Linked DNA regions of Ovis aries. The protein of the gene in region 1 purifies or fractionates together with the protein of each later gene. This does not show direct contact. Links are inferred from orthologs where the notes say so. Each region holds a gene or a part of one and is shown in the gene's direction. Other genes may lie near its edges. The genes, in order: MTA1, CHD3, DNMT1, HIC1, BCL11A and SIN3A.

Region 1 (4,831 bases):
TGTCCTGGCAGCGGCGGGACCCTGGCCTGCCGCCTCGGCTCACATCTGCTCTTGCTCTGCTGTCTTGTCAGCCTAACAGCCTAACGTCTGACCTCGGATTGCGGGGCTCCTGTGGAGGCGACTCCGTCGCCCCTCGCCCCCGCTCCCCACTCTTTCTGCGGCCCTTGTGGTCTGGGACAGGGCCGCCCCGTCCCACGTGGCACGCCCTCGGGGCTCCTTCCTGAACATCTCCTTTTCCACTAAATGCAAGAATTTTGAAGTCTTCTGCAAGGTGCCTGGGGCCTGTCGCCATGCCTCTGAGCTGGTGTGAGGTCTGGGCCCTGCCTGCAACCCCCCTTGTTGGTCTGGAGAGGGGAAAGCAGTGTGAAGCCGGCAGAGGAGCGGGGCTTAGCAGACGTCGCTCTGCTTTGGGAGGGGGAGACCTGGAACCCAGCAGCGTGCCTGAGACTTCCAGGGAGAGGCAGCCCTGTCCGCCACTCGCCCCCATCCCCCACCGTGGCTGGAGGAAGGCAGCCTCCGCCCTTCGGTGCTTCTCCCCGCGGCAGGCGGGGTGCTGCAGGTGGATGCCACTCTCAGGGAGACAGGAGCAGGCGCTTTGCAGACGGGAAATGTGGGGCTCTGTGCTGCCTGGGCATTGATCCGTGGTTTCTACTGTTTGGTCAGCTTGTTGGGTGCTGGTGGATGGAGGCTTCATGGTACAGCTTCGCTGTCCAGAGGAGGAGACGCAGCTCACTGAGTTAGGATGGGCTGTGGGGAGGGGGACGTTCCTGTCCTCCCCTTAGGGGGGCCTGCCTGAATGGCCTCAGCGCTGAGCTCCTGCCTTCTAGCCGCCCTCAGTCTCCACGACGTGCGGGGCCTGGGGCCTGTCCTGGGCTCTGTCCCCTCGCGTCCCACAGGGATGTCCCCAGGCAGATGAGGCAGTCACCCTGGGGCCCTCACCTCCCTCCTCTGGCCCCCGAGCAGCGGGCTGGTCCAAAAGCCCCACTGGGCCCGCTACTGGCCAGCCGGGCCGCCCCCTCCACCCTCCGCTTTCTCCTGCGGGCAGTGCCCGGGCCACCGCCATCCTCAGACTTAAGCCCACACAGCGTGCCAGGTCCTGCCGGGCTTGCGGAGGGCAGGCCGGTGCCTCACCCACGGCCCTTCCACCTCGCTGTCCTCGCACGGACCGCCAGCCGCGCCGCCGGACCCCCGCCAGGCCCCCAACACCGCCCCCCGCCCCCACCATCCGCGTCGGGGCCCCCCCTACCCCCCGCCCCGCTCCCGGGCGGGGCCTCCCAGAGGGTACCCTGGGCACGGCCACCCGGCCCCTTGGCCGGTCTCTCGGGCCGCAGCCCAGGGCGGAGGTGCCCGCGCGGAGGTGGGATGGGGGCCCGCCGCCGTCCGGGCGGGGCCGCGGGGCAGGGCCGGGGGCAGGGACAAAGACCCCGGGGCCGGGCGCGGGCGGCGGGCGCTCGCGGGCGGCGGGGGCCGGGCGCGGGCGGCGGGGGCGCGGGGCGCGCGGGCGGCGGCGCCGGGGGCGCGCGGCGCGGGGCGGGGCGCCCGGGAAGCGGCCCCGCGGGGGGCGCGGCGGCGCCCAGGCCCCTCCCTCGCGCGGCCCCTCCTCTTCCTCTCCCGCCCGCCCGCGGCCTCGGTCCCTGCGCGGCCTCGGCGGCCTCGGCGGCGGCGGCGGCGGCCGAGCAGCGCGGCCCCTTTAAACCGCCCGCCCCCGCGCCCGCGCCCGCGCCGCGCCGCGTCCTCCCGGCCGCCCGCGCCGAGCCCCGCGCCCGCCCGGCCCAGCCCGCGGCCCCCGCCGCCGCCGCCGGACATGGCCGCCAACATGTACAGGGTCGGAGGTAAGGCCGCCGCCTGTCCGCCGCCGCCGCCGCCGCCGCCTTTATGCGCCGCGGCCGGGCCTCCGCCGGGCCCCCGCCCGGACCCCCGCCCCGGGCCCCGGACCCCCGCCCCGGGCCCCCCGGACTCCCGGCCCCCGGCCCGGCCCCGCCGTCTCTGCCCACCGCCCCCCCCCCCCGGCCGGCCTCGGTCCCAAACCGCCGCCCCGGGCCTCGCCATCCCCCGGCCGCTCTGCACCCCGCGCCGCGGCGCCCGCCCGCCCGCTCCCCGTTTCCCGCCCCCGCCCCCGCCCCCCAGTCCGGTCCCCTCCCCCGCCCCGCCCCTCCCCCACTGCAGGCCGGCCTGCCGGGGCATCCCCCCTCCCCCCGGCCGCCCGCACCCCTCGTCTGCACCGCACCCCGTCTCCTCCCCCCTCCATCGTTTCTGAGCGGCCTGCCCTCCACCCCCACCCCGGCCCGGCCACGCTCACTGCGGCCCGAAAGGGCCCCTGGGGCCGCCCCGCTGGAGCCGGCGGGGACAGGGGCCGAGCGGGGGAGGTGAGGGGGGGCTGTGCCCACCTGTTGGGGGCGGCCTGTGGTCTGTGAGGAGCTGTGGGGGATGCCAGCACCCTTCTGTGCGGGGGCCTGGCCTGAGCCCCGCGCCCCCAGCGGAGCGGAGCACGTGGTGCAGGAGGCCCGGCTGCCCTCCGGGGGTGGGGGGCTCCGGGGCCCAGGGATGAGGAGGGCCCACGGTGTGCCGGGGGTGGGGTGGGGGGGGAGCTAGGGGCTCAGATCTGGGGTGCGGGCCATGTCCCCCCCTGGAGCCCAGGACCGCTGAGGGCTTGGGCCTGGAGTATGCTTAGGGGCTGTGTTCTGGGGGATTTCCTCTCCAGAGCCTTAGCAGCCTGTGGTCACCCGAGCGTGCTTTCAACACACCCCAAACTTTTTTGCTGCCTCCTATTTCCCCAGGGCGGCAGGGAGGTGCTTTGCAGGGGTGTCGATGAGCCAGGTGGTCCCTGCTTGGGATGCTGAGCGGGCCGAGGCCCTGTAGGCTCCCCTCCTGGGCTGTTCCTCCCCTCGTTGGGCCCCGGGAAGCCCCTGGCATTGGGTCTTGCCCCACTTTGTGGGGAGGGGGCTCCGGGAGAGGGCACTGCTGGTTTCCCGTGGGGTTCCCAGCTGGTCCGTGAATTCACAGGGAGGCGAGGTGCCCGCTGGCTGTCTCTGAGATCCTGAGAGGCCCGCGTGCCCAGCTTTGGTGGAGCGTGTCAGGCCTGAGAGCAGCCGTGGCCTCGCTGTCCGAGCCACTTCTGTGCGCCGTCTGCCCTGTTGCTGGCCGGCTGACCCCGAGGGCCAGGCCAGCCTCGTGACCTTGGGCACACACCCCCACCTGGGCAGTGGGCAAGCAGGACACCTGCCGGCCCGTCAGGCCCTCTCCTGCCCGCTCTGGCTCACGGGTGGTCGCGGGAATGGGGGCCTGTGCCCCCTGTAGCACAGGCCCTTGGTGGACACGTGGGGGTCGGGCTCGGCTGCAGCAGCCCTTCAGGGAGGGGCCTGTTCATTTCCCACCCTGGCCCATCCGAGCAGGAGCCGGTCACCTGGAGGGCGGTAGGAGGTCCCTGGGACCCACTCGCCCCCTCTGTGCTGGCAGCCCCCAGCCTCCCCCGCCCAGGTCCCCTGGCCGCCCTGGCAGCTCTCCTCCCGCACAGTGTCCTCTCGGACCACATTTCTGCATGCAGGCCCCCTCTTTCCCGGCGTGAGACCCCTCCGGTTGGCCCACCTTTCTGGCTTGCCTGGTGCCCCTGAGGTTTACCTGGCCAGAAGCCCCCCCCCCCGCCAGGCTTCCGCCCTAGGGCCGCGTTGGGGTGCTGAATAAATGAATGAGAGGAGGCGCCCAGCTCCTGGGTGGAGACTGGAGGGGGAGGCAGTGGGGTGCTGGGGGCCCTTCGCTGGCCCCCACTACACCTTGGCCGCCTGCCGCTCAGGGCGGGACCCCCACTGTGTGCTATCTCTGCCCCTCCCAGGCCGTGGGCACCGCAGCCTGTACTCTCGTCCCTGCTTTGACGTGTGGGCTCCAGGCCTCCTGGCTGTGCAATCGACCAGGGCCTGGCCGCACTCAGGCCTTGCTGTGCCTCAGACACCTGTGTCCCCCGCGGGTCCCGGAGGCGCTCCCGGGGCCCGAATGGAGGGCCGCTTCCCCTTGGACTCCAGGTTGGTCCCTGCTGTTCCGTCCCCCACCTCTGGACGGGATCCCAAGGCGCTGTCCCCTGGGTCCACAGGGCCTGTGGGCAGGGTGTCGGCAGGTCGGCGTCCTGTCCCGAGGAGCTGCTGGCTTGGGGTTGGGGTCGCCGTCAGGGCCTCTCAGGACCCAGATGGGCAGATTCGCGCCTCTCCCTGGGGCTGGGGCCCACTGGGCAGGCTGCCTGGCCTCGGTGCACCACAGGGACAGAACCCGGGGAAGCTGTCCGCACGCAGGACCCTCCACCAGTCACTGGATCCAGCACGAAAAAGTACAGGATGCCTGTTAGGGTTGCATTTCAGATGCAACGTGTCTTAGCATCTGTGTGTCCCCAATGCCGCATGGGAGGGACACAAGAAAGTGGTCCGCGGCACCCAGCCTCTCCCGGGCGTCCTGCGTCCTGCCTGGCAGGCTGTCCCGAGGCCCTGCCAGGGTGTCTGGGCGGGGCGAAGGCATGGCCGCAGCTTCGTGCCAACTGACCGGCTGGGCGGAGTGGGTCAGCCTGGGAGGGACCAGGCCTGGTTCTTCCCCAGGAAGTGGCCGGGCCTGGACAGAAGGCCTCTTGGGCGGCACGTGGCGGGCGAGGCCTGGATGCCGGTGGCTGGGTCAGGGTCCACGCCCCGCTGCGGGGGGCGGGGGCGTCTGCTCTGCAGGAGGGCGGCGGGTTCCTCTCTTTCTGCCCCTTCGTGAAGGCAGAGCTGCTCCATCAGGCTCCAGGACAGACGGAAGCCCCGCAGCCCGGAGCCGCGGGCGCCTCGGTCACCGGGCGGTGGGCGCCTGGGGCTGG
Region 2 (4,252 bases), on another chromosome or scaffold:
TGGTAGTTTCTTTGCAAAAGGTCTGAAAATACAAACCCACCCCCTGCATGCAATACGCATGTGCAGCAGACCTATTATGGTGGTTCGTTGTGGGGGAGGGAGGGGAATTTGAGAAAAAATAAATATATGTGTGAGAGATTGATGGTGAGATTAGAAGAAGAGAGGGGCGGGAGGCGAGGCTCTCGGCGAGGCCCCTCCCTCTCTCCGGTTCGCCAGGCCCCGCCCGGCCCCCTCGCCGCGCTCCTCCCTCGCCGTCTTCCGAGATCTGAGCCGGGATGTGGGAGAGTCTGGGCGCGCGGCCAGCATTGAGTGGCTGGTGAGGCAGAGGTTGGGACTTAGATTTGCTTTCCTGCCCTCCCTCTCCTTTCCTAGCCGTCTACTTTGCGTCCCCGCACTACCGCCGTCTTCCCAAGTTGGGGAACCTCCCGCTGGGGTGGAGAGTGGAGTTAACTGGCTGCGAGGTCCCAGGGCTGGTGTCCCCCCACCACCCCACCCCCAGCTGGCGGAGACCGAGGCCATTTCCCTGATCCTCAGCCAGTTGGCCTGCCCTTGCTACTGCCCCGGCAGCCTCCGTTTCCATGTTCGTATTAGCGGAGTCCCTGGGGTGAGAGAGCGCTGGCTGCGGGGCACGGCGTCTTACTGACTTCCTATTACGGTACCCACTCTGTTTTCACACCCCGGGCTGCCTGCAGGCACTTCCCCCCCCCCCCCCCCCCCGCGCCACAGCCCCCCAATTTTAGAGTGCCGTCCCGCGCGAGAGGGCACAGGATGCCGGAGCTGTGAGAAGTAGCACTGAAGGAAGGAGGCGCCGCGATTCTGAGGCGCTGGAAACCCGAGGCCTCCGGTGTAAATTGTGGCTAATTTTCCCTTGGCTGTTGTGGGGAGAAGGATTGTGTGTCCTAGAGCAAGGGGCTGGGCCGGCCCAGGCTTTTCCCTCCAGCGCTGCTGCCTCTACCTGAGCAGGACAGGTCTGGCTGGTTAGTCTAGTGCTTGCTGGGGGAGGGAGGCCTCACACCGGGGCCTCACTTCTGTGTGGCATCGGCTGTGTCTTCCTCCTGAAGTAGTTATTCTCTGAACCCTAAGCCTCCACAGTGTGGCAGGGGTCATGGAGAATGGGGAGAGGGGGACATCTGGGAAGAACCAGCCCCAGATTGTCTGACAGGGACATCTGGAGAGAAAGCCAGGGACCTAGCCCTGCTAAAAGCATGTACAAATTGTCCTCTGGGTTTGTGCTCATGAGTATGTGATGCTTGTGCATTTGAGAATGCATTTGAGGGGTGTGTCTATGCCTGTCCAGTGTCTTTGTGTGGGTCTCCCATACTGCTTAGATATGAATGGGTTAGAATGCTTGAGACTACATTTGGAGGCAAGGGGTGAGACCAGGGACAACGGGTAGGGCGCCTGAGTTCTCAAAGGGAACAGGGATGTGGATGTAGATTTGAAGGCACAATTGAGGCTGCTTGGGAGGAGGAGGAAGAATGTATAGGTAATTGTGGAGACCTTCTCCTGTGGGGCTAGGGAGTGACAAAGGAGCCAGACACCAAGATCCTGTGGGCCAGAAGTGAACATGGCTGACTGAGGGTTTCTTTTCCTCCAGGGCTATGCTGGGGTGACAGGAGTCTGGGTGATTATCTGAGGAAGTGTAAATAGAGGCCTCACTCCTCACAGAAAGGATGTCAGGGCCCCAGGGTGTTAGTGTGAGAGCCCAGGTGTCCACCTTTGGCTCTGCCTTCTCAGCATCTGGCTTAGGGAGCTGCCAGCTTGTGTCTCCCCACTCCAAGTGCTGGGGTCAGGCCAGGCCAGCAGCTGGGCATGGCTTCCCCAGTTCCTGGGCAGGATGCCAGCTGGCTAAGTGAGGGGGAAGGCAGGAGGAGCCCTGGCGGCGACTAAAAGGACCTGCCACAGTCAGAGCCCATGGCCTAGAGCCTGGTCCCTTGTTAGTAGGAGGGGAGAGACAGGAGTGGTTTGGCTGCTCTCCTCTTCTGACCCCTGACCTCCCATTCACAACCCAGGCATCCCAGAGTACTCGAAACACTCTCTGTTTGCGTCCAGCAAAGGGAGGCAAGGTTTGGAAGAGTTAATGCTGGATTTCCTAGAGAGCAGGAACCAAGGAGGTGAGGGAGGAAAAGGGCTGCAGAGGCTGGGAGCCTAGAGGCTTAGGTTTTCCGGTGCTGTCTGCTCCAAAGATAAGGATGACATTCGACTGCTGCCTTCAACATTGGGCGTGAAGAAGAGGAAGCGAGGACCTAAGAAACAGAAGGAGAACAAGCCAGGAAAGCCCCGGAAACGCAAGAAGCTTGTAAGTGTTACGCATGCCTGTCTCTACAGTGAGGCTTGGAGACCCATCCCAGAGACCTATGATTTCTCTGGGCCTGATTGCCATGGGGACCCTGAAGTCAGGGAGACCTGACTCCCTCTGCCTGCCCCTAGCCCCACTCCTGCTAGCCTGTATCTCCCAGGTCTGGGACCCTAACCTTACTCACTACATCCTAGTGAAGAGCCCTTTTGTCGACTTTACTTGCCCTGCAACACAGAGAAGCTGTTGGAAGCACTGCAGGTAGACTGCATGAATTCACAGCCCAGCAGTCCTCTATCTTCTTGGGCAGCTTACTTAGCTCTCCGTGCCTCAGTTTCCTCTACAAAAAAAAAAAAATGGATAAAAATAGATTAGTTGCTGTCTCATAGGATTGTTGTGAAGTTTAAAAGAGACGATGATATTTTGTGCTAAGAGGAGTTCCTGGCACACGCTAGGGCTCAAAAAATAGTGTTTTTATTTCTCTTCCTTAGGACAGCGAGGAGGAATTTGGCTCTGAGCGAGATGAGTACCGGGAGAAGTCAGAGAGTGGAGGCAGTGAATATGGAACCGGACCAGGTCGGAAACGGAGACGGAAGCACCGAGAAAAAAAGGAGAAGAAGACAAAGCGGCGGAAAAAAGGGGAGGGAGAGGGGGGGCAAAAGGTGAGTAGATTTGGGGAGTGAGGGAAGAAATCTGTATCAATGACAAGCCTGAAGAGTAGGGGAGGGAGAGCCCTGGGCAAGCAGGGTGACAAATGGAGAGGCTGTGGTTTATGAGGAGTGGGATTGGGCTGGGAATGGAACAGAAAACTGGAAGCCCAGAGAAGCTGGTGAGTGGGCAGGGAGGCATGTCAGGGGGTGGGGGGAGCCCAGGACTGGAGTTAGGAGAGCACCTGGCTAACAGAAGCCTGGTATCCTAGCAAGTGGAACAGAAGTCATCAGCAACCCTACTTCTGACCTGGGGCCTGGAGGACGTGGAACATGTGTTCTCCGAGGAAGATTACCACACACTCACCAACTACAAAGCCTTCAGCCAATTCATGAGGTACGGTAGGGCTGGGGAACCCTCACTAGCCGATGCTTTTAATTTGAGGGAGGCCCTGGACCTCTCTGGAATCTGATGAAAGCTAAAAAATGGCTGTCCAGAGAAATTCACAGCACAGACACACCTAACTCCCATGTAATATCAGAGAATTCCTGGATTCCAGGATCCAAGCACTCTAGTCAGGAACTTTTCACTGGGGATCAGAGTTCCACGGCTAGGTTAGAAAACTCTGGTGACCGATGGCCCTCTCTGCTCTTAACAGTTCCAGTTTACCCTGCCTGACTTTTCATCAGACTGGAGTGGAGAGGTGGCATCAGTGTTTCCCAGTTTCCTTTGCTCGGTTATCGAGTCTTCTGCCCTTCCCTTAGACAGCAGTAGTAGTGCAGGCTGAGAGTGGCACCTGCAAGTCAATAGCTTCTAAAGTAGAGGAGAGAACAATAGAGATGCCTTTGGGGGAAGCAGGCACTTTAGCAGAGCCCTTCAGCCCTCTGGAGACAGCCTGCTAAAATTCAGGTCCTGGTGCTTCTTGGGCAGCTCACTTTGATCTTCAGTTTCTGCATCTGTGAAATAGGCAAATAGTAGGTACCTTGAGGAGGGACTGGCAACCCACTCCAGTATTCTTTCCTGGAGAATCCCGTGGACAGAGGAGCCTGGGGGGCTATAGTCCAAGGGGTCACAAAGAGTTAAGACATGACTGAGGTGACTAAGTATGTACTTTGGTTGGGTTTTGATGGGGTGGTAGATGGAAAGCTCAGCCCATTCCATATTGTGGGGCCAGGCAGAGTTCAGTCCCTGGTAGCGGTCATTAGTCCTGGTGTCTCACTGCTTCTCTACTAAAGACAGTGCTTCTTTCAGCACCACAGTCACCTGTGTCCTCACAACAGCTTAATACCCACCTCAGAGCAGAACCAG
Region 3 (3,781 bases), on another chromosome or scaffold:
GGGCAGGCGGGCGCACGCAGAGGCCAGAGGCGGGGGCAGCCATCCCTGGGCAGGGGCAGACGGGCGCACGCAGAGGCCAGAGGCGGGGGCAGCCATCCCTGGGCAGGGGCAGACGGGCGCACGCAGAGGCCAGAGGCGGGGGCAGCCATCCCTGGGCAGGGGCAGAGGGGCGCACGCAGAGGCCAGAGGCGGGGGCAGCCATCCCTGGGCAGGGGCAGAGGGGCGCACGCAGAGGCCAGAGGCGGGGGCAGCCATGCCTGGGCAGGGGCAGACGGGCGCACGCAGAGGCCAGAGGCGGGGGCAGCCATGCCTGGGCAGGGGCAGACGGGCGCACGCAGAGGCCAGAGGCGGGGGCAGCCATCCTGGGCAGGGGCAGACGGGCGCACGCAGAGGCCAGAGGCGGGGGCAGCCATGCCTGGGCAGGGGCAGACGGGCGCACGCAGAGGCCAGACGCGGGGGCAGCCATGCCTGGGCAGGGGCAGACGGGCGCACGCAGAGGCCAGAGGCGGGGGCAGCCATCCCTGGACTGCAACAAACTGTCCGTAACTGAAAACAGAGCTCCAAAAAACTGTCCGTAACTGAAAACAGAGCTCCAAAGGGGACTTCCCCAGCACTTCCACATGGGGGGGTGTGGATTCAATCCCTGGTGGGGAGCTGAGATCCTACATGCTGCTGAATGTGGCCAAAAATTAAAAACAAAACTCCTCAAAGGATCAGGCTGTAGGGTGATGACGTATAGTCTGGTGGAGGCAGATGCTGGCCCGCACTGCACTATAGATAGAGCCTTTGGCATTGAGATTCTGGAGGAACTCAGAGCCAGGACCCCAGCAAGTCCTGAGGGACCATGTGCAAGAGACCTCTTTGCTGCGTCGTTTCCAGCTCGTTTCCCCTGATGGGGTGTAGGGGTGCCCAGCTGTGGAACTCCAGGTAGCAGTTAGACTCCCACACAGGGTGGGTCAGGAACAACACATAGACCACACTGTTTTATAGACTAAATGGCCGAGTCTCTGCGTGAATGGACGTGCTTATGAACACCTCGAGGGTGTGCATGGTGAAACTCCAGGGGCCTCTCAGTGGCTGTGTGTGCAGTGACAGGGCCTTGGGGTGGGCAGAGGGGACGAGGCCTCTTCTGAAGAGCGACTGCTCTGTGTGTGCCTGTTCAGTAACTGATGGCATAACTAAAACTGAAACGGGTGCTGAAACAGGAGGGAGAGATGGCTGGAAAACAGTGAGCGTGTGGAGGGGAGAGGGTGGCACTCGGCCCCAAGCCCTCCCTGTTGGTCTCCACAGTGTCTCAGCCTAACCGAACAAGCCTCGCTGGTGGCCGTGTTCTGTCTCTGTGACTGTGGGCTGCCAGGCGGGAGGGCGGCTCCTGGTGTCTCCCCTGGCTGCTCTCCTCCCCAGTGCTAAGACCACGGCACCCCCATGTGTCCAAAGAACCGGCTGAGAGCATCTCCTGAGCTCACTCCCACCTCCCCCGCGGTTGCTGGCCACCTCTTGGGATCGCTTGTCCTGCCCTCTGGCCTCACTCTGGTTAAGTGGAAGCCTTGGGTTAACTTCCTGGAGAACGACATGGCAATCTATTCCAGTATTCTTGCCTGGGGTATCCCATAGACGGGAATCTGGTGGGCTGCAGTCCATGGGATTGCAAAGATTCGGATGTGACTGAAGCAATTTAGCACTAGCACTGTGGGTTAACTAAGGGCTCTCTGGGTGAGCTTCACACCGGCCAGATGCTCCCCAAAGTCAGATGCCACGGACCCCAGCCCTCAGACCAGCGAGTCAGGGTGCCCGCTGACTGTGCGTCTCTGGTCCTCCCTGCACAGGCTGGTCAGTACGGCGTGGCCCAGACTCGGAGGCGAGCCATCATCCTGGCTGCAGCCCCTGGGGAGCCACTCCCTCTGTTCCCCGAGCCGTTGCACGTGTTCGCGCCCCGGGCCTGCCAGCTGAGCGTCGTGGTGGACGACAAGAAGTTTGTCAGCAACATCACCAGGTAGGAGCCCTGCCCGCCCATGGTCGTGGTGCCGGTGAGGTTTGGGGGAGCAGGGTGGTGCCGGGGGACCTCAGTGACAAGGCCCCGGGCCCGGAGAAAGTGTTAGCGAGGAGCAGTGGTGTGGGGTCCAGCCTGCCCCCAGAACGCTCTGCCCCTCTGGGCTTATCCTGCCCGAGCACCCTGAGTACAGGGCCACAGCCAGAGCCCACGCTCTACACAGGGTCTGAGGAGAGTGCTGCCCCGGTGACCTCGGGTAGCCCTTTGACCCCAAGTCAAGGTCCCCTTTTCTGCAGAAGACGGTGCCAGCCGTCGGGGATAGCAGCTGTGACTCAGGTAACAGTAGCTGTGTGTCCCAGAGGTGCCAACCCTCCATGCTTTGCTGCAGGTTGAGCTCAGGTCCCTTCCGAACCATCACCGTGCGGGACACCATGTCCGACCTCCCCGAGATCCGGAATGGGGCCTCGGCACTGGAGATCTCATACAACGGGGAGCCCCAGTCCTGGTTCCAGAGGCAGCTCCGGGGCTCGCAGTACCAGCCCATCCTCAGGGATCATATTTGCAAGGTGACCAGAGCAGGCCTCCCTGCAGCTGCCTGTTGGGGACAGAGCTGCGGGGGGAGCGCAGCCTGGGCTGGAGGAGCTGATGTCCGCCCCTCCCCTTCCACCCCTTCTGCTCTTGACTGCTCACCCCTAGCCCAGCGTTATCTCAGCCGGCCCCCAGCCTCACCGCCTCACCGCCTCCTGCTTTTCCAATTACCCACCCTCTCTCCACCACCACCCTCCCCCACCGCAGTACTTGGTCGTGGGGTGTTCATCAGAGCTTATTACTCCGAAGTAATAGGTCTAGGAAGACCTTACACCCTAGAATAGTTTACACTCTTCCTAAATAGTTCTGGAATGGCCACTGTTTCCCACCGCGTCTCTCACCACCCCTGTTCTCTGGGAGACCCCAGGGCTCCCCACCTCTGGCTCCACCTGTGCCACGCCAGCTCCTCCCAAACCCTGCCTGCACTTGCCCAAAGCCACCCCCTCACCCGTCCCCCGTTCTCCCACATCCCCGCTCTGGAGTTATCAATGCACGTGTGTGACTCCAGGCTGTGCACTGGGGTTACTGTCAGTCTCCCCCAGTGGGATACAAGTGCCTGGGGGCTCCTAGTCGCCGCCAGCGTGCCCAGTGCCCACCATGACAGCACCCAGCCCCCATGGCACCTGCTTGAGTGCTCCCCCAGCTGGGCGACAGCCGGGCCTTCTGTGCTCCTCCAGGACATGAGCGCCTTGGTGGCTGCCCGCATGCGGCACATCCCCCTGGCCCCGGGCTCGGACTGGCGTGACCTGCCCAACATTGAGGTGCGGCTCTCCGATGGCACCCTGGCCCGGAAGCTGCGGTACAACTACCACGACAAGAAGAACGGCTGCAGCAGCGCCGGCGCCCTCCGCGGGGTCTGCTCCTGTGTGGAAGGTGGGGCAGCCCCTCCCCGTGCCCTGGCCTCCGGGTATGGCTTCCTCCTGCTTGGTGTGACGCTTCCAGCCCCGTTAGGATCTGCAGCCATGTGGGGGGCTCAAGGGAAGGGGCACGGTCTCAGGCTTTCTCAGCAGGAGGTGCAGGGGCTCAGGAGGCCAGCGGCCCTGAGCTGGGTGCAGACCCACCGGACCTGGGTGTCCCTGCTCTAAATAAAGGCTGCTGAAAACAGGGCTTATGGGGAGGCTCCGCCTGGTGGACTGTCCTCCACCACGGCCCCATCACAGCCCTATCTCCCTGCAGGCAAGCCCTGTGAGCCTGCGGCCCGAC
Region 4 (4,936 bases), on another chromosome or scaffold:
GTTTTGGGTACCACCTCTGCCCAGGTCATGGAGGGCTCTATATGGCAGTACCCTGAGTATGACAGAAAGCCGGTTCTTGGACTCCAGAAGGGACAGGTGTGCGTCTGCAAACATGCACGCTCACGGGTGTCAATGCATGGAGAGGGTCTGGGTGCAAACGGGTCTATTCTGTGCATACCTATCCCACGTGGCTGAGTGAGGTTGGGTGTATTGGGGGGCCGGTGTACAAATGGAGAGTGCCATCCAGGGATATCTAATGAGAGACCCTTAAGAGCTTGTCTATCTTCTTCCTTAGGATTTCGGAAGCCTCCTCCCTTCCACTGCCCCTTCCTTGAAGGCCGGACTTATCTGAATTGGGACAATGTCAGAATTTAGAAATATGTACACAGGAACATTCAGCTCAAAACCCCGGTTTTTGTGGGGCTCGAAGGTCCGGGGCTGGGGCCTCCAGGTGGACACATCTGGAAGGCTGAATCTGAGAACGGGCCCCACTCCTGGGTCCACTTCGGCATCTGCGAGCCTCCCTCCATCTCAGGTGCGCAGGAAGGAGGCCGTGGCTGTGCCGCGCAAAGTACCGCACGGCCGCGAGGTGGCGCCATAGCTGCAGCAGCGCCCGCCGGCCCGGGCCGCTCCAGATAAGAGTGTGCGGAAAGCGCGGCGGGGCTGAGACGCGACCAGGACGCGGGGAGGACGGACCAGCAGGACAGACCGACCGGGGGCCCGGCGGGCGGAGGGCAGCGCAGCGCAGCCACGTCCCCCCCTGGATCCGCCGGCAGCCGGGCCCGGGGCTTCCGACATGCCCCCCAGGTGGGTCCTAGGGCTGGGGACGGGGGAGGGACAGGGGACCCGAACAGCCCGGTCCTCGCGCGCTGGCCGCCTGGGGCGCATCCTCCGGCGCTGGCGCCCCCAACGCGGCTGGCGTTCAGGGCTCCGGGTGTCACCCCTAGAGGACTCAGGACCGCCGGGCCGCTGCTCTGCGCCGGGTTCACGGCGGGGTCAGCGGCCCGGGGCCGGCTCTGCCCGCACATGGGCTGGAGAGGCGAGGGGAAGGGAAGGGGAGCTGGCGGGCGGGGCTGGCAGGGGCGCTGCCCTGGCACAGCGCGGCGCCTGGCAGCGGGGCGGGTGGGGCGCCGACTAGGAGCTGCCACCGCCGCGGGGAGGGAAGCCCGGCCAGGCTGCGGCCGCAGGTAACGGGCCGCGCGCGAGGCCCTGGGGACTAGGCAGCGAATGGGGTCGGGCGGGCGAGCGGACGGCCGGGGTGCTCAGGGCTCGGTTCAGGCCCGGCGGCCGCTTGGCAGCCGAAATTGGGGGCCGAGAGGAAAAGCTGGGAGCCGAGGGACTGGGGCTGGCGCGCTCCTCCCGGCCTGTCTGAAGTTGGGAAACTTTTCCCCAAGTTTGGGGCGGCGGAGTTCCCGTGGAGAAGGGGCCGAGGGGAGCCGGGGAGGGAGGCGCCGGGCCCGCGAATGCAGAGCGGAGGCCGAGGCCGGGGCCGGGACGCGGGTGGGGCGCAGGCCAGGGTCAGGGCCGCAGCCGGCTGTATGCCGTGCCCGCCCGGGGCGCTGCCCCCTCCCTCCCCTGGGAGCTGCGTGGCTCCCCCCTCCCCCCCACCTGCTTCCTGCCTCAGCCTCCTGCCCCGATATAACGCCCTCCCCGCGCCGGGCCGGCCTTCGTGCTCTGCCCGCCACGGCAGCCGCTGCCTCCGCTTCCCGCGCCACAGCCGCCGCCCGGGGCCCCAACCGAGGGTCTGACAGCCCCCGGCCAGGGCGGCGGCACGGCGGGCACCGCATTGCCCTCCTCCGGACCTCTTCCCCCAACTGGGGCAACTTCTCTGGAGGCGGGAGGCGCTTTTTCACTCGGCTCCCTTGTATCCCACTTGGGCAAACTTCTCAGCCCTGAATGACTTTTCCTGAAGCGGACATTTTCCTCAAATCGGGTAACTGTTTCCACAAGGGTCGCTTCGCCGGAACAGTTTTCTCCTCGGAAGCCCCCAGAACCCAGGCAGAGTGCCCGGCTGCATCCGGGCCTGGGGGTGCCGGCCAGCCTGGCCTCCTCTCTGCCGGCTGGTCTCGGCTCCTTCTTCTGGTCTAGGCCGGCCGGCCCAGGCGCCCACTCTTGGAGGCCGCGGATTCTCCGCCAGTGCCCAGGCCGCCGTGCTCTATGCCCCTGCCCCTGCCCAGCTGAGGGGAAGGGGAAGTGCAGGGGAGAAGCGCTGGGCTGGGGGCAGGCAGCCAGCGCTCGGTGCGGCTCTGACCCCGCCGGTGTGTGTCCCCGCAGGAGAGTGTGCTGGGCAGACGATGCTGGACACGATGGAGGCGCCCGGCCACTCCAGGCAGCTGCTGCTGCAGCTCAACAACCAGCGCACCAAGGGCTTCTTGTGCGACGTGATCATCGTGGTGCAGAACGCCCTCTTCCGCGCGCACAAGAACGTGCTGGCGGCCAGCAGCGCCTACCTCAAGTCCCTGGTGGTGCACGACAACCTGCTCAACCTGGACCATGACATGGTGAGCCCGGCCGTGTTCCGCCTGGTGCTGGACTTCATCTACACCGGCCGCCTGGCGGATGGCGCGGAGGCTGCGGCGTCGGCCGCCGTGGCCCCGGGGGCCGAGCCGAGCCTGGGCGCCGTGCTGGCCGCCGCCAGCTACCTGCAGATCCCCGACCTCGTGGCGCTGTGCAAGAAACGCCTCAAGCGCCACGGCAAGTACTGCCACCTGCGGGGCGGCGGCGGCGGTGGCGGCGGCTACGCACCCTACGGGAGGCCGGGCCGGGGCCTGCGGGCCGCCACGCCCGTCATCCAGGCCTGCTACTCCTCCCCGGCCGGGCCTCCGCCGCCGCCCACCGCCGAGCCGCCGTCGGGCCCCGAGGCCGCTGTGAACACGCACTGCGCCGAGCTGTACGCCTCGGGCCCCGGCCCAGCCGCCTCGCTCTGCGCCCCGGAGCGCCGCTGCTCCCCGCTCTGCGGCCTGGACCTGTCAAAGAAAAGCCCGCCGGGCTCCGCGCCTCCCGAGCGACAGCCAGGGGAGCGAGAGCTGCCCCCGCGCCCAGACAGCCCTCCCAGCGCCGGCCCCGCCGCCTACAAGGAGCCACCGCTCACCCTGCCACCGCTGCCGCCGCTGCCCTTCCAGAAGCTGGAGGAGGCCGGACCGCCTCCGGATCCGTTCCGAGGTGGCGGCGGCAGCCCGGGATCCGAGCCCCCCGGCCGCCCCGACGGGCCCAGCCTCCTCTATCGCTGGATGAAGCACGAGCCAGGCCTGGGCAGCTACGGCGATGAGCTGGGCCGCGAGCGCGGCTCCCCCAGCGAACGCTGCGAGGAGCGCGGCGGGGACCCGGCCTCCTCGCCTGGGGGCCCTCCGCTTGGCCTGGCGCCGCCGCCGCGCTACGCGGGCAGCTTGGACGGGCCTGGCGCGGGCGGCGACGGCGACGACTACAAGAGCAGCAGCGAGGAGACGGGCAGCAGCGAGGACCCCAGCCCGCCCGGCGGCCACCTCGAGGGCTACCCGTGCCCGCACCTGGCCTACGGCGAGCCCGAGAGCTTCGGCGACAACCTGTACGTGTGCATCCCGTGCGGAAAGGGCTTCCCCAGCTCGGAGCAGCTGAATGCGCACGTGGAGGCGCACGTGGAGGAGGAGGAGGCGCTGTACGGCCGGGCCGAGGCGGCGGAGGTGGCCGCGGGGGCCGCCGGCCTCGGGCCCCCTTTTGGAGGCGGTGGGGACAAGGTGGCCGGGGCCCCAGGGGGCCTGGGCGAGCTGCTGCGGCCGTACCGCTGCGCGTCGTGTGACAAGAGCTACAAGGACCCGGCCACGCTGCGGCAGCACGAGAAGACGCACTGGCTGACGCGGCCCTACCCCTGCACCATCTGCGGGAAGAAGTTCACGCAGCGCGGGACCATGACGCGTCACATGCGCAGCCACCTGGGCCTCAAGCCCTTCGCGTGCGACGCGTGCGGCATGCGCTTCACACGCCAGTACCGCCTCACAGAGCACATGCGCATCCACTCGGGCGAGAAGCCCTACGAGTGCCAGGTGTGCGGGGGCAAGTTCGCCCAGCAGCGTAACCTCATCAGTCACATGAAGATGCACGCTGTGGGCGGCGCGGCCGGCGCGGCCGGGGCGCTGGCGGGGCTGGGGGGGCTCCCCGGCGTCCCGGGCCCCGACGGCAAGGGCAAGCTCGATTTCCCCGAGGGCGTCTTTGCAGTGGCGCGCCTCACGGCAGAACAGCTCAGCCTGAAGCAGCAGGACAAGGCGGCTGCGGCCGAGCTGCTGGCTCAGACCACGCACTTCCTGCACGACCCCAAGGTGGCGCTCGAGAGCCTCTACCCGCTGGCCAAGTTCACCGCGGAGCTGGGCCTCAGCCCCGACAAGGCGGCCGAGGTGCTGAGCCAGGGCGCACACCTGGCCGCCGGCCCCGACGGCCGGACCATCGACCGTTTCTCTCCCACCTAGTGCGCCTCTGGCCTCCGTGTGGCCCCGGGCGCGCCCCCCGGCGGCGCCGGCGGCCACCAGCAGGCGGGTGCCCCCCACCTCCGCATGCCCGGACGACAGTAGCAGCCGCGGCAGCGTCGCCACAGGGTCGGCGGCCTCACCTGGCCTCACTGCTTTGTGCCTTAGCCCGGGGGTGGGGGTAGGGGGGGGGGAGGAAACCCCGGGACGGGGGTGGGTTGGGGGAAGGGAGATTTATATTTTTGATATCAGCTTTGACCAAAGGAGACCCCCGGCCCTTCTCCGCCTCTTCCTGTGGTTCGTCGGCCCCCACCTCCCGGCTCCGTGCTGCTCTTGTGGGGGGAGGGGTGCCACTGTTGGGGCGCTCCCAGCCCTACCTCCGGCCCTTGCGACCACACCCATTCTCACTGTGAATCTCCCCGCTGGGGTCGGAGCGTTGGGCAGAGCTGGGAGCGGGGAGGGGACTGAGCCGGCCGGAGGGCCCCCCCGCCCCAGCCCCC
Region 5 (5,018 bases), on another chromosome or scaffold:
GGCCGGCGCGGCTGGGAGATGGGTGCGCGCCTGCGAGCCGGGGGCCCTCGCTTAAGACAATAAAGCACCCCGCCCAGGAGGTGCATTTACGAAAGCGACGTCCCTCAGACCAAGGAGGGAGAAGAGAAGACACGAGGGTTCGTGGAGCCACTTGGAGGAGAGGGGAAAGAAGGCTCCTCGCTCTGCAGACCCACACTTGTACACGTCCACCTGCAGCTCGCAGTCTCGCGGGCCGCGGCCACCCGTACCCCCCCTGCACCCTCCGCGCCTCCCTTGGACCTGAGTCCATTTTCTTCTCCCCCCTGCCCTTCCGGATTTGGAATCGCAGCGCGGTCTCTCGGCGGCGGCGTCGGCTGAGGCTACAGGGTGGCGCAGGCAGGCGGGGAGACTGGGAGGCGGGAGACGCCGGGGGACTTTGCAGGCACGTTTCTGAATAAACTTTCCAATCGCAGGGGGTGCTGTTGCTGTACATTTTACGTAAAACTGAAAGTATCCCACGCCAGAGTGAAGCCCGCTTTTTGACAGCAGCAGCGCGCGCGCGCGCGCGTGTGTATGTGCATTAAAGAGACAGGGGTTTATTTCCAACAGGTCTTCCCTAATTTCCCGGGAACGTCTGCAGAAAGGCCAGACCTGGGCTGCGGGCTCCGGCGGGTGCAGCTCCGCCCGGGGCCCCCCGGGAGCGTGGCGGTGACCCGGGGCGGTCACCCCACCACTGTGGCCTCCCCGCTGCTCCCGCGAGCCAGTCGCTCTTTCTTCATTCCCCATTTTCTTTCCCTGGGTAACTGCACTGGACTAGTTGTGCTCTGCCCGTAAGAAACATTTTCTTGCCGTTCCTCGGTGCTTTAGCAGTAGCTCTGGAGTGGGAGGGGGTGTGTCTTTTCTTGGGACCCAGCTTAGGGACCTCCCGCGGCGCCGGGAGCCCGTTCCCAGGGACTGGCACTCCTCGACTGCCCGGGCTTTGTCCTCTGGCCGGCGGCGGCCCCGTGAGGTGGACGCCTCTGCGCCTCCTTCGCCCTGGGTCCGGGCACTCCACTCCCGGGGCCGGAACGTGCCCCGAGTCCGGCTCCCTGTTCTTTCTTCCTCCTCGACCGTTGAGAGCCTGACTCCTTACTCCCAGTGGCATTCACACCCGATCGTTTGTCTGGACGTTCAGATCTCCGGCCCCCCGGCTCGGCCTGGGGGGCGCCCTCCCCGCCAGCCGGCCCGGGGCCTGCATCTCCTCTCTCGCCCTTGCCCTCTCTCTCTCTCTCGGACCGCCCGGGCTCCCGGAGGCCCCCGCGCTGCCTTTCCGGACCCGCAAGCCTCCAAACTTGAGCTGGACTCTGCTTGGCCGGGCGCTCCTTCCCGCCTCCCCTCGCCCGCGGCGTAGCTGTAACTTGGAGGCTCAGCTCCCAACTTCGGGTGATTTTTCTTGGCTATCCTCTCCTCGAGCAAAGTTTCCCGAGAGCAGCCGCGGGCTCTGGGCTTTCGGCCCCCGGCGTCCGCACACGAGGCGCGAGCTCCGCGGCGGCGGCGAAGGGAAGTGGGTGTGCGCACGCAGGAGGGTGTCCGGGAGCAACTCTACCTGGCTTCCCTCCGCCCGCGCTTCCCCGGCCCCTGCAGCCTCCAGACACTCTTTTTTTTTTTTTTAATTTAAAATAATCTTTCATTTTAGGGTCCGCGTGCCGGGGTTGGGGGGAGCAGGGCGCACGTCTGGCTCTTCCCCTCCCCCGCCGCCCCTTCCCTCTCTCCCCGCCAAGCCGCTGCCTCTGCACTCGCTGCGGCCACTGGTGAGCCCGAGGCCCCAGCGCCCCCTCCCCTCCGCCCGCCCCTCCCACGGGGGCCGCGTCTGGCGTCTGCGGAGCCCCCCGCCCGGCACCTCCCCCGCCCCGCACTGGCCATTGGCTTGTCCTGGTCTCTTTTTCATGTCCAGCCCCTGATGTGTGTCCATTGGTGTGAGCTTCCCCTTCCCTCCTCCCCTTCTCTCCTGCTCGCCCTGCCCATGTTTTGTGTGTCTCTGTCCATCCAGACTCCTGACGTTCAAGTTCGCAGGGACGTCACGTCCGCACTTGAACTTGCAGCTCAGGGGGGCTTTTGCCATTTTTTTCATCTCTCTCTCTCTCTCTCCCCCTCTATCTCTCCTCTCTCTCTCTCTCTCTCTTTTTTTTTTTTGGTTAAAAAAAAAAAAGCCATGACGGCTCTCCCACAATTCATCTTCCCTGCGCCATCTTTGTATTATTTCTAATTTATTTTGGATGTCAAAAGGCACTGATGAAGATATTTTCTCTGGAGTCTCCTTCTTTCTAACCCGGCTCTCCCGATGTGAACCGAGCCGTCGTCCGCCCGCCGCCGCCGCCGCCGCCTCCCGCCCGCCCCGCAGCCCACCATGTCTCGCCGCAAGCAAGGCAAACCCCAGCACTTAAGCAAACGGGAATTCTCGCGTAAGTAACCCAATAATAGTAATAATAATTATTAATAATCACGAGAGCGCGCAGGACGAGAAGCAAGAGAAAGGGGGAGAGAGGGGTGTGTGCATGCATTAAAAAAAATTTTTTTTTCACGAGAAAAACCTCCGAGAGTCGGGATAAAAGAGATTAAAGCGGGGGGGGGGGGGAACCAACCTCATCCCATCCCGAATCGTAGCCGTATGTACACTTTTGGGATAGCACGAACCTTTTAATTTTATTTAATTTTACAAAAATTTGACTCCTCCTCTTTCCTGCTTTCCTCTGCTTTATTTCGCTTTTCAGAAAGGAATGCAATGATTTCGCCTCCAATTTTGCAAAATAATGAACAATGCTGTGGATGCTAACAACTCTCGTGCAAACCTAAGGGAGGGAACTGGAGGGGAAAGGGGGTTACTTCCACTTACCGTAGGAAGAAAAACGGGGGGTGGGGAGCCCAAGTTAAAAAAAAAAAACGATTCCCAGGGAGAAAAGAGGTGAGACTGGCCCTTGGACACCAGCGCGCTCACGGTCAAGTGTGCACTGGGAAGAAAGTAGTCATCTCCACAATAGTGAGAAAGTGGGATTGTGGGAGGGGGGACCCCGGCGCTCTTGAGTCCGCCGAGTCTGGAGAGGGGCCGCGGTGCCCGGGAGAGCTTGGGCGACCGGGAAGGACCGGAGCCGCGGCCGGCGCTGCAGCCTTTTGTTCCGGCCCGAGGTGGGTGTTTGCCCCGCTGCCTTTTGTGCCGGCTCCTCGCGCTTGCCCTCCCGCGCCGCCGCCGCCGCCGCCGCCGCCGCCGCCGCCGAAGGGCAGGAGCGAGGGCCGGGGGCCAGTCGAAGAGGGAGGGAGGGCGCTGTGGGTGCTGCCGCCCGGGTTCCCGCTGCCCGCCCCTCCCGGCCGAACCTCAGTGGCGGCGAAAATAGGTTAAAATAAAATAAAATACATAAAATAAAACATGGCAACATTTTTTTTTTTTTGCCCCCAGACAGACGCCAAGCGCTCCGCCAGCGGTTTGCAGCAACGCTCTCCTCTTTGACTCCCCCACCGCGCCCCCCCTACAAATATCTCACAATCTCTAATAGAGGGGAAAAATACAATTACCCCCTTCACCAAAACCTCTTTAGTTGCAAACTTAGAGCGCCGGCGGCACAGAGAGGGAGCGAGGAACTCCCTCCTCTTACTATTTTTTGGAAGATTTTCAAAAAAAGTGGAAGTGGATTTTGATTGGGAAAAATCTCGTGTCTGAATGTTTACAAGCACCGCGTGTGCGGGAACCTCCTGCCAACAAACAGACAGAGGACCGAGCGCGGCGCGGCAGGCCGGGAGCGGGCGGCGGCTGCGGCCGGGCCTCGCCGGGGCCTCGCCCGGCCTCACCGCGCCCCCGCCCCGCCCGGGATCGCCCACCCGGCGCCCGTCGCCAGCCCGCTGGCCCAGCGGCAAGCGGTGCAGCGACTCAGCGCCAGCGGGTCCAGGGTCCTCTCTGGCCCCCTAATACAATGCCCAGACCTCCTCTTGGCCAACCCTACTGCGAAATCGGCTGGGGAGAAACTCATCTTTGCAAAGCATTTTTATTTTGCAAAGCATCCCTAAAAGCGAGTCCTGTCCGTCCCCTACCCGCGACGCCTCTTGCCCCCAGCTCAGGGCGGCGGGGAGATCACCACGTGCCTTCCCTGCCCCCCTCCCACAGGGACAAGCCTATAGCCCCCAGCTCCGGAGCTCGGCCACGCAAGGTGGGGGTGGGGGGCGGGGGGTGGGGGTAGACGGTAGGGAAGTAGTTGGTTCGAGTATGGTTTTGGGGGGTGTTTGACCCCGGGACTCCGAGCATCCCTCCCTTGAGTTCTTGCTGTCTACCTCGGGCCTGGCTGGATCTGGGGGCCCTTCTGAGTCTGTATAAGGGAGGTGGGGTGGTTAAGTGGGTGGCTGCCTCCTGGCTAACAGAATGCGCCTGGAAAGGCAGGCAGTGGGCGCTAAGGAAAGTTTGGCTGCAAAGGAAAGAAAGGCGTGAGAGGGCCCACTTCCCTCCCCCACCTCATTCATGACCCGTATTTTAATTTTTGCTGCAATTTTAAAGGACCACCCCATATCCAGTTCTGTATTTTTTAAAGGTGTGTGTGTCGGGGGGGGGGTGGTGCGCGTAGGGAATTGAATTTTTCACTGGGTCCTGGAACTTGTCACACACTTCGAAAGCTCCCCCGCCCGGGCACGTTGCGGGCCCTCCCTCTCCCCACCCCCGCGCATCCCTCCCTCACCGCTTTCCCCCGCCCCCACTCCCCCGGCCGCGCCGGATGCGGAGCAGACGCGGCGCGCGGCGGTGTGAAGTTACAGCCCGGCCAGGTACCGGCGGGAAGGAAGGGCAATGTTCGCAGCACTCGGGAAAGCCGGGCCCTTCTTCGGAAGGATGCACTGGGGGCTCAAAGGACGGACTGTGGCGTGCAGTCCAGGCTGCTCCCCCGTCCCCCACTCTCCCGGGGCCCATCCCGAGACTCCAGGCTGGGTGGGTTATCCCCTTGGAATCCCCGAGTCTCAGAGCGGGTTTTGGGTTAAGGGGCCAGTTTAAAGTGGGTGCGGTGGTCGCTCCTTTCTAATTTTCTGGG
Region 6 (4,252 bases), about 36 Mb from region 1:
TGTCAGAAATATTCAGTGAAAATTTAAATGGTTACTCACAAATACAACATTGAAGCCCTTAAGTAATGCTCTTATTGTTAGTAGATGTGCAAAAAGACATTAAACATTTAAACATCTCAAGTTACTCTGAAAAACTTTACTCATGAGATTGATTTAATATCTTGAATGATCTTTTTGGGATTTGGTGGTAGTGGTTGTTATTGTCTGTAACAGATCTGAGTAATTCACAAAAGTTCAGGGGAAAGTGTCAGTAAGGTTGCCTCCTCCTAGGTCCCTCTGGCATGGGGGCCGGTCATCCTCAATAAACCACATTGGTGGCGCTAGAAGTATCAACTACTGCTTTGTTGTTGTTCCGTTGCTAAGACGACCTTGTGACCCTGTGGTCTGGAGCACATCAGGCTTCCCTGTCCTTCACTCATCTCCCTGAATTTGCTCAGATTCATGTCCGTTGAGCTGGTGATGCCATCCAACCATCTCATTCTCTTGTCACCCCCTTTCTCCTCCTGCTCTCAATGTTTCCCAGCATCAGAGTCTTTTCCAGTGAGTCAGCTGTTCGCATTAAGTGGCCGAAATTTTAGAGCTTCAGCTTCATCATCAGTCCTTTCAGTGAATATTCAGGGTTTGGATGTTTGCTGTGTGCCTGGTATTGTGCTAAATCCTTTATGTGGGTTGTATTGTTAAATCCAGAACCCAACCTTGTGAGAGTAGGTGGTGGTATTCCTGTCTTACTGATAAGCTAACAGTTTTATATGGCTATGGTATGGCAGAGCCCAGATTCAAATCCAGGGAGTTTGACTTCTACCTTCTACTCCTGACAGCTATTCTGTTCTGATTTGGGTCCTGAGCACACTGTCTTTTTTTTTTTTTTTCAATAGCTTGATGTAGTTTTAGAGACCAATCTGGCAACTATCCGGGTTCTGGAAGCAATACAGAAGAAACTTTCCCGCTTGTCTGCCGAAGAACAAGCTAAATTTCGCTTGGACAACACCCTCGGGGGCACATCGGAAGTCATCCACCGAAAAGCACTCCAAAGGATATATGCTGACAAAGCAGCTGACATCATTGATGGTCTGAGGAAGAACCCTTCCATTGCTGTCCCAATTGTCCTTAAAAGGTACCTGAGTGCATACGCCCTTCATGCTTTAGTGCACTTCTCAACAGATTTAGTGTCCCATTAAATAAGATTCTCCTTTTCAGCCCAGTTTTTCCCTGAGACCTCCATTTCTCTCCAACCGCGGCTGTAGGAAGTCAGGTGGATAGTGTGGGATAGTGGAACTTCTTGATGGGGTTCTGTGTCACCAACAGCAGAGAACAAGCCTTTCCAGTCCATACTGGAATGCTCTGTGTGTTTAGGGGGATATTTTAAAATAGAGAACAAAGAAGAAAACAGCCACCCACCTTCCTGCCACTTAGTACTAACCGATGTTCACATCTTTTGTTTTTTAATAAGAAAAATCACTTTGTCTTTATGAAATTGATATGTTACTTAAAAAGCCTTAGCGTCCCATAAAAATTCAAGAATGTCTTCTTTCTTCTAACCAACCTTCGAACCAAGTATAGAGGGGCTGTTGAACCCACCTAAAATAAGGCTGTAGGTATCGAGGAGGCCAGGGCTGAGCCCCAGGCTCCTCGAAGTCCATGGCGCTCCTAAAAATCTGGTCCTGTATCACCACTGGAAAAACTTATCCACTGCACAGTCACACGTGCCCAGATTTTCTTGTTCCTCCCCAGTCTTCCTCTCAAGAGCTGGCAGAAGGTGTTTGCCTTCTTGCCAGTAGTGTTTAACTTTTGTCTTCGAGGTGGAGGATATCCTTCAGTTCTAGTGCTGGTTTTGATTTTTCTCTCCTCTCTTCCAGAGGCTCAGTCAGTTGTTTTTGCTGGAACTTCCAGGCTCTGTCTAGAGGAGCATCCATTGTTGCTCAAGTTCTCTGCTCTTGGACATTCGCATTTGCATTAGCATAATGACAATTCTCAGAAGTCCTGTAGCAGGGAAACTTGTTTCACTTTGTTTTAGCTGGCCAAAGAAGAGAGTCTACTTTTCTAGGGTATTCTGTGGAATGTTGGTTGAGAAATAACTGTTCTCTGCAAGATTTCTGACTTTGGGATAAATTACTTCCCCATAGTAAGTCCCGAATGAGTAGTTTTCTCGTGTATCAGAGTTCAAGACTAGCTTGAATAAATTTATTCCAGAGTTGCCAACAGATTTGACAGATCTGCTGTACCTGTTGACCTTTGAAATAAAGTAAACCTGACATATTTCTTACTTCTAAACCCTGTGGGATGAGGTGCTGTTATCCTCTTTTTACGGATAAGGAGGCAGTCTTACGTGGCTAATATGGCAGAGTGAGGATTCCAGTCTACAAGTGTAATATGACTCCTTGCCTTAAAATTCCCTCCTCTGAACTCTTATGTCTTTCTTTTTCCACCCTCCACCCCACTAGGTTGAAGATGAAAGAGGAAGAATGGCGAGAAGCTCAGAGAGGCTTTAACAAGGTGTGGAGAGAGCAAAATGAGAAATACTATTTGAAATCTCTGGACCACCAAGGCATCAACTTTAAACAAAATGACACCAAGGTCCTGAGGTCCAAGAGCTTACTCAATGAGATTGAGAGTATATATGATGAGGTGAGTCGAGGGTCTCAACATTTGTGAGAAGTCTCCAGTCTGTATGCTCAGCATAGCTTTGACTCCTGCAAATTACCTTTGTTATATGAGCCTGAGACCCTCCAAGGTTTGTTGATTGTTGCTTCATAGGATAGACTTCTATTCCCAATTCTTCTACCATTTTAAATCTAAGGCTCACTGAGCTGTTTTACTGGTTTCCCAGTTTTCCATCCTGGTTATAGTTCATGCCCACTGCCACCCTCTTCCACTTCTCTCCGTATTTCCTTCCAACAGTACCTTATATTCCTTCTTGTAGCCTATCTCAACTTTCCACAACTTAAAATACTATCTTCAATCCCCACACTCTTTCTCTCTCTGTTTTTGACCATGCTGTGTGGCTTGTGAGATTACAGTTCCCCCACCAGGGACTGAACCCAGGCCTTTGGTACTGAGAGCATGGAGTCTTAACCACTGGACCACCAGAGAATTGCCCCCAGACTTTCTAATCCTTGTTTATTCGGCATCCTTCAGGATTATGTAGAGTACTGGGAGCTAGGATACACAGATGAATAAGAAGTTAATCCTTGTTTCTTTGAGCTCATAGTCTTAGGGGATGGATAGAAACAAATAGAGTATGATTGAGAATTTCTAGAAGGGCGTGATCTTGAATTTTAAACTTTATTATGAAAATATCAAGCATACATGAAAAGGGAGAGAACAGTAAAATGAACTGACATAAATTTAATTTCCTCCCTGTCTTGCCAGTTCTGTTATATCTGCCACCTTCCTCACTCCCAGAAGTATTTTAAAGGAAATTTTAGACCTCATATCGTATCCTCCATAAGTACTAATGTAAAATTTTAGAAGATGGTCCCCTTTCTGTCCTATTGTCTTTTAAAAATCTCAGTGTCTGGGAGGTACCAGTCATGGTACCTCCAGTCATTTTGGTATCAAACCACATCTTGCACAGTATCTGTTTGTTTCTGGAAGTTTTCGATTGGAAAATAGTGGCCATTATGGACATACTGCTAGTGTAGTCTCGTAGGTCTGCCTGGTGCTTTTGTAGCTGTCACATAATACTTTGTCTCTCTCTCTCTCCTGGTAGAGGCAAGAGCAGGCTACGGAAGAAAATGCTGGTGTACCTGTTGGCCCACACCTCTCACTTGCCTATGAAGACAAGCAGATTCTGGAAGATGCTGCTGCTCTGATTATCCACCACGTGAAGAGGCAGACAGGCATTCAGAAGGAAGACAAATATAAAATCAAGCAAATCATGCATCATTTTATTCCAGATCTGCTCTTTGCTCAGAGAGGTGATCTCTCAGATGTGGAGGAAGAGGAAGAAGAAGAGATGGATGTAGATGAAGCCACAGGGGCGGCTAAGAAGCACAATGGTGTTGGGGGCAGTCCCCCTAAGTCCAAGCTACTCTTTAGTAACACAGCAGCTCAGAAGTTAAGAGGGATGGATGAAGTGTACAACCTCTTCTATGTTAATAATAACTGGTATATCTTTATGCGGCTGCACCAGATACTCTGCTTGAGGCTGCTTCGGATTTGTTCCCAAGCTGAACGGCAAATTGAAGAAGAAAACCGAGAAAGAGAGTGGGAACGGGAAGTGCTGGGCATTAAGCGAGACAAGAGTGACAGC

The links.
Region 2: the proteins of MTA1 (region 1) and CHD3 purify together in Homo sapiens (affinity purification with western blotting; 7 studies listed by BioGRID and IntAct, with this or other methods). This does not show direct contact. The link is inferred for Ovis aries from reciprocal best matches to the Homo sapiens genes MTA1 and CHD3.
Region 3: the proteins of MTA1 (region 1) and DNMT1 purify together in Homo sapiens (affinity purification with western blotting; 4 studies listed by BioGRID and IntAct, with this or other methods). This does not show direct contact. The link is inferred for Ovis aries from reciprocal best matches to the Homo sapiens genes MTA1 and DNMT1.
Region 4: the proteins of MTA1 (region 1) and HIC1 purify together in Homo sapiens (affinity purification with western blotting; 3 studies listed by BioGRID). This does not show direct contact. The link is inferred for Ovis aries from reciprocal best matches to the Homo sapiens genes MTA1 and HIC1.
Region 5: the proteins of MTA1 (region 1) and BCL11A purify together in Homo sapiens (affinity purification with mass spectrometry; 4 studies listed by BioGRID and IntAct, counting the BioPlex papers as one, with this or other methods). This does not show direct contact. The link is inferred for Ovis aries from reciprocal best matches to the Homo sapiens genes MTA1 and BCL11A.
Region 6: the proteins of MTA1 (region 1) and SIN3A purify together in Homo sapiens (affinity purification with mass spectrometry; 3 studies listed by BioGRID, with this or other methods). This does not show direct contact. The link is inferred for Ovis aries from reciprocal best matches to the Homo sapiens genes MTA1 and SIN3A.

What each region holds. Positions count from the first base shown.
Region 1 is NC_056071.1:67,443,510-67,448,340, forward strand, and holds the start of MTA1 (metastasis-associated protein MTA1), read left to right. Parts: upstream 1-1,606; 5' UTR 1,607-1,804; coding exon 1,805-1,832; intron 1,833-4,831. UniProt on the Homo sapiens protein: Transcriptional coregulator which can act as both a transcriptional corepressor and coactivator. Acts as a component of the histone deacetylase NuRD complex which participates in the remodeling of chromatin.
Region 2 is NC_056064.1:27,388,388-27,392,639, forward strand, and holds part of CHD3 (chromodomain-helicase-DNA-binding protein 3), read left to right. Parts: intron 1-2,186; coding exon 2,187-2,299; intron 2,300-2,787; coding exon 2,788-2,958; intron 2,959-3,215; coding exon 3,216-3,340; intron 3,341-4,252.
Region 3 is NC_056058.1:12,544,275-12,548,055, reverse strand, and holds part of DNMT1 (DNA (cytosine-5)-methyltransferase 1), read left to right. Parts: intron 1-1,826; coding exon 1,827-1,993; intron 1,994-2,378; coding exon 2,379-2,556; intron 2,557-3,255; coding exon 3,256-3,451; intron 3,452-3,754; coding exon 3,755-3,781. UniProt on the Homo sapiens protein: Methylates CpG residues. Preferentially methylates hemimethylated DNA. Associates with DNA replication sites in S phase maintaining the methylation pattern in the newly synthesized strand, that is essential for epigenetic inheritance.
Region 4 is NC_056064.1:22,965,053-22,969,988, forward strand, and holds the start of HIC1 (hypermethylated in cancer 1 protein), read left to right. Parts: upstream 1-1,665; 5' UTR 1,666-1,896; coding exon 1,897-1,933; intron 1,934-2,274; coding exon 2,275-4,439; 3' UTR 4,440-4,936. UniProt on the Homo sapiens protein: Transcriptional repressor. Recognizes and binds to the consensus sequence '5-[CG]NG[CG]GGGCA[CA]CC-3'. May act as a tumor suppressor. Involved in development of head, face, limbs and ventral body wall.
Region 5 is NC_056056.1:63,449,931-63,454,948, forward strand, and holds the start of BCL11A (B-cell lymphoma/leukemia 11A), read left to right. Parts: upstream 1-1,992; 5' UTR 1,993-2,365; coding exon 2,366-2,420; intron 2,421-4,690; exon of another isoform or gene 4,691-4,709; coding exon of another isoform or gene 4,710-4,758; intron 4,759-5,018. UniProt on the Homo sapiens protein: Transcription factor. Associated with the BAF SWI/SNF chromatin remodeling complex. Binds to the 5'-TGACCA-3' sequence motif in regulatory regions of target genes, including a distal promoter of the HBG1 hemoglobin subunit gamma-1 gene.
Region 6 is NC_056071.1:31,080,304-31,084,555, forward strand, and holds part of SIN3A (paired amphipathic helix protein Sin3a), read left to right. Parts: intron 1-875; coding exon 876-1,114; intron 1,115-2,441; coding exon 2,442-2,625; intron 2,626-3,709; coding exon 3,710-4,252. UniProt on the Homo sapiens protein: Acts as a transcriptional repressor. Corepressor for REST. Interacts with MXI1 to repress MYC responsive genes and antagonize MYC oncogenic activities. Also interacts with MXD1-MAX heterodimers to repress transcription by tethering SIN3A to DNA.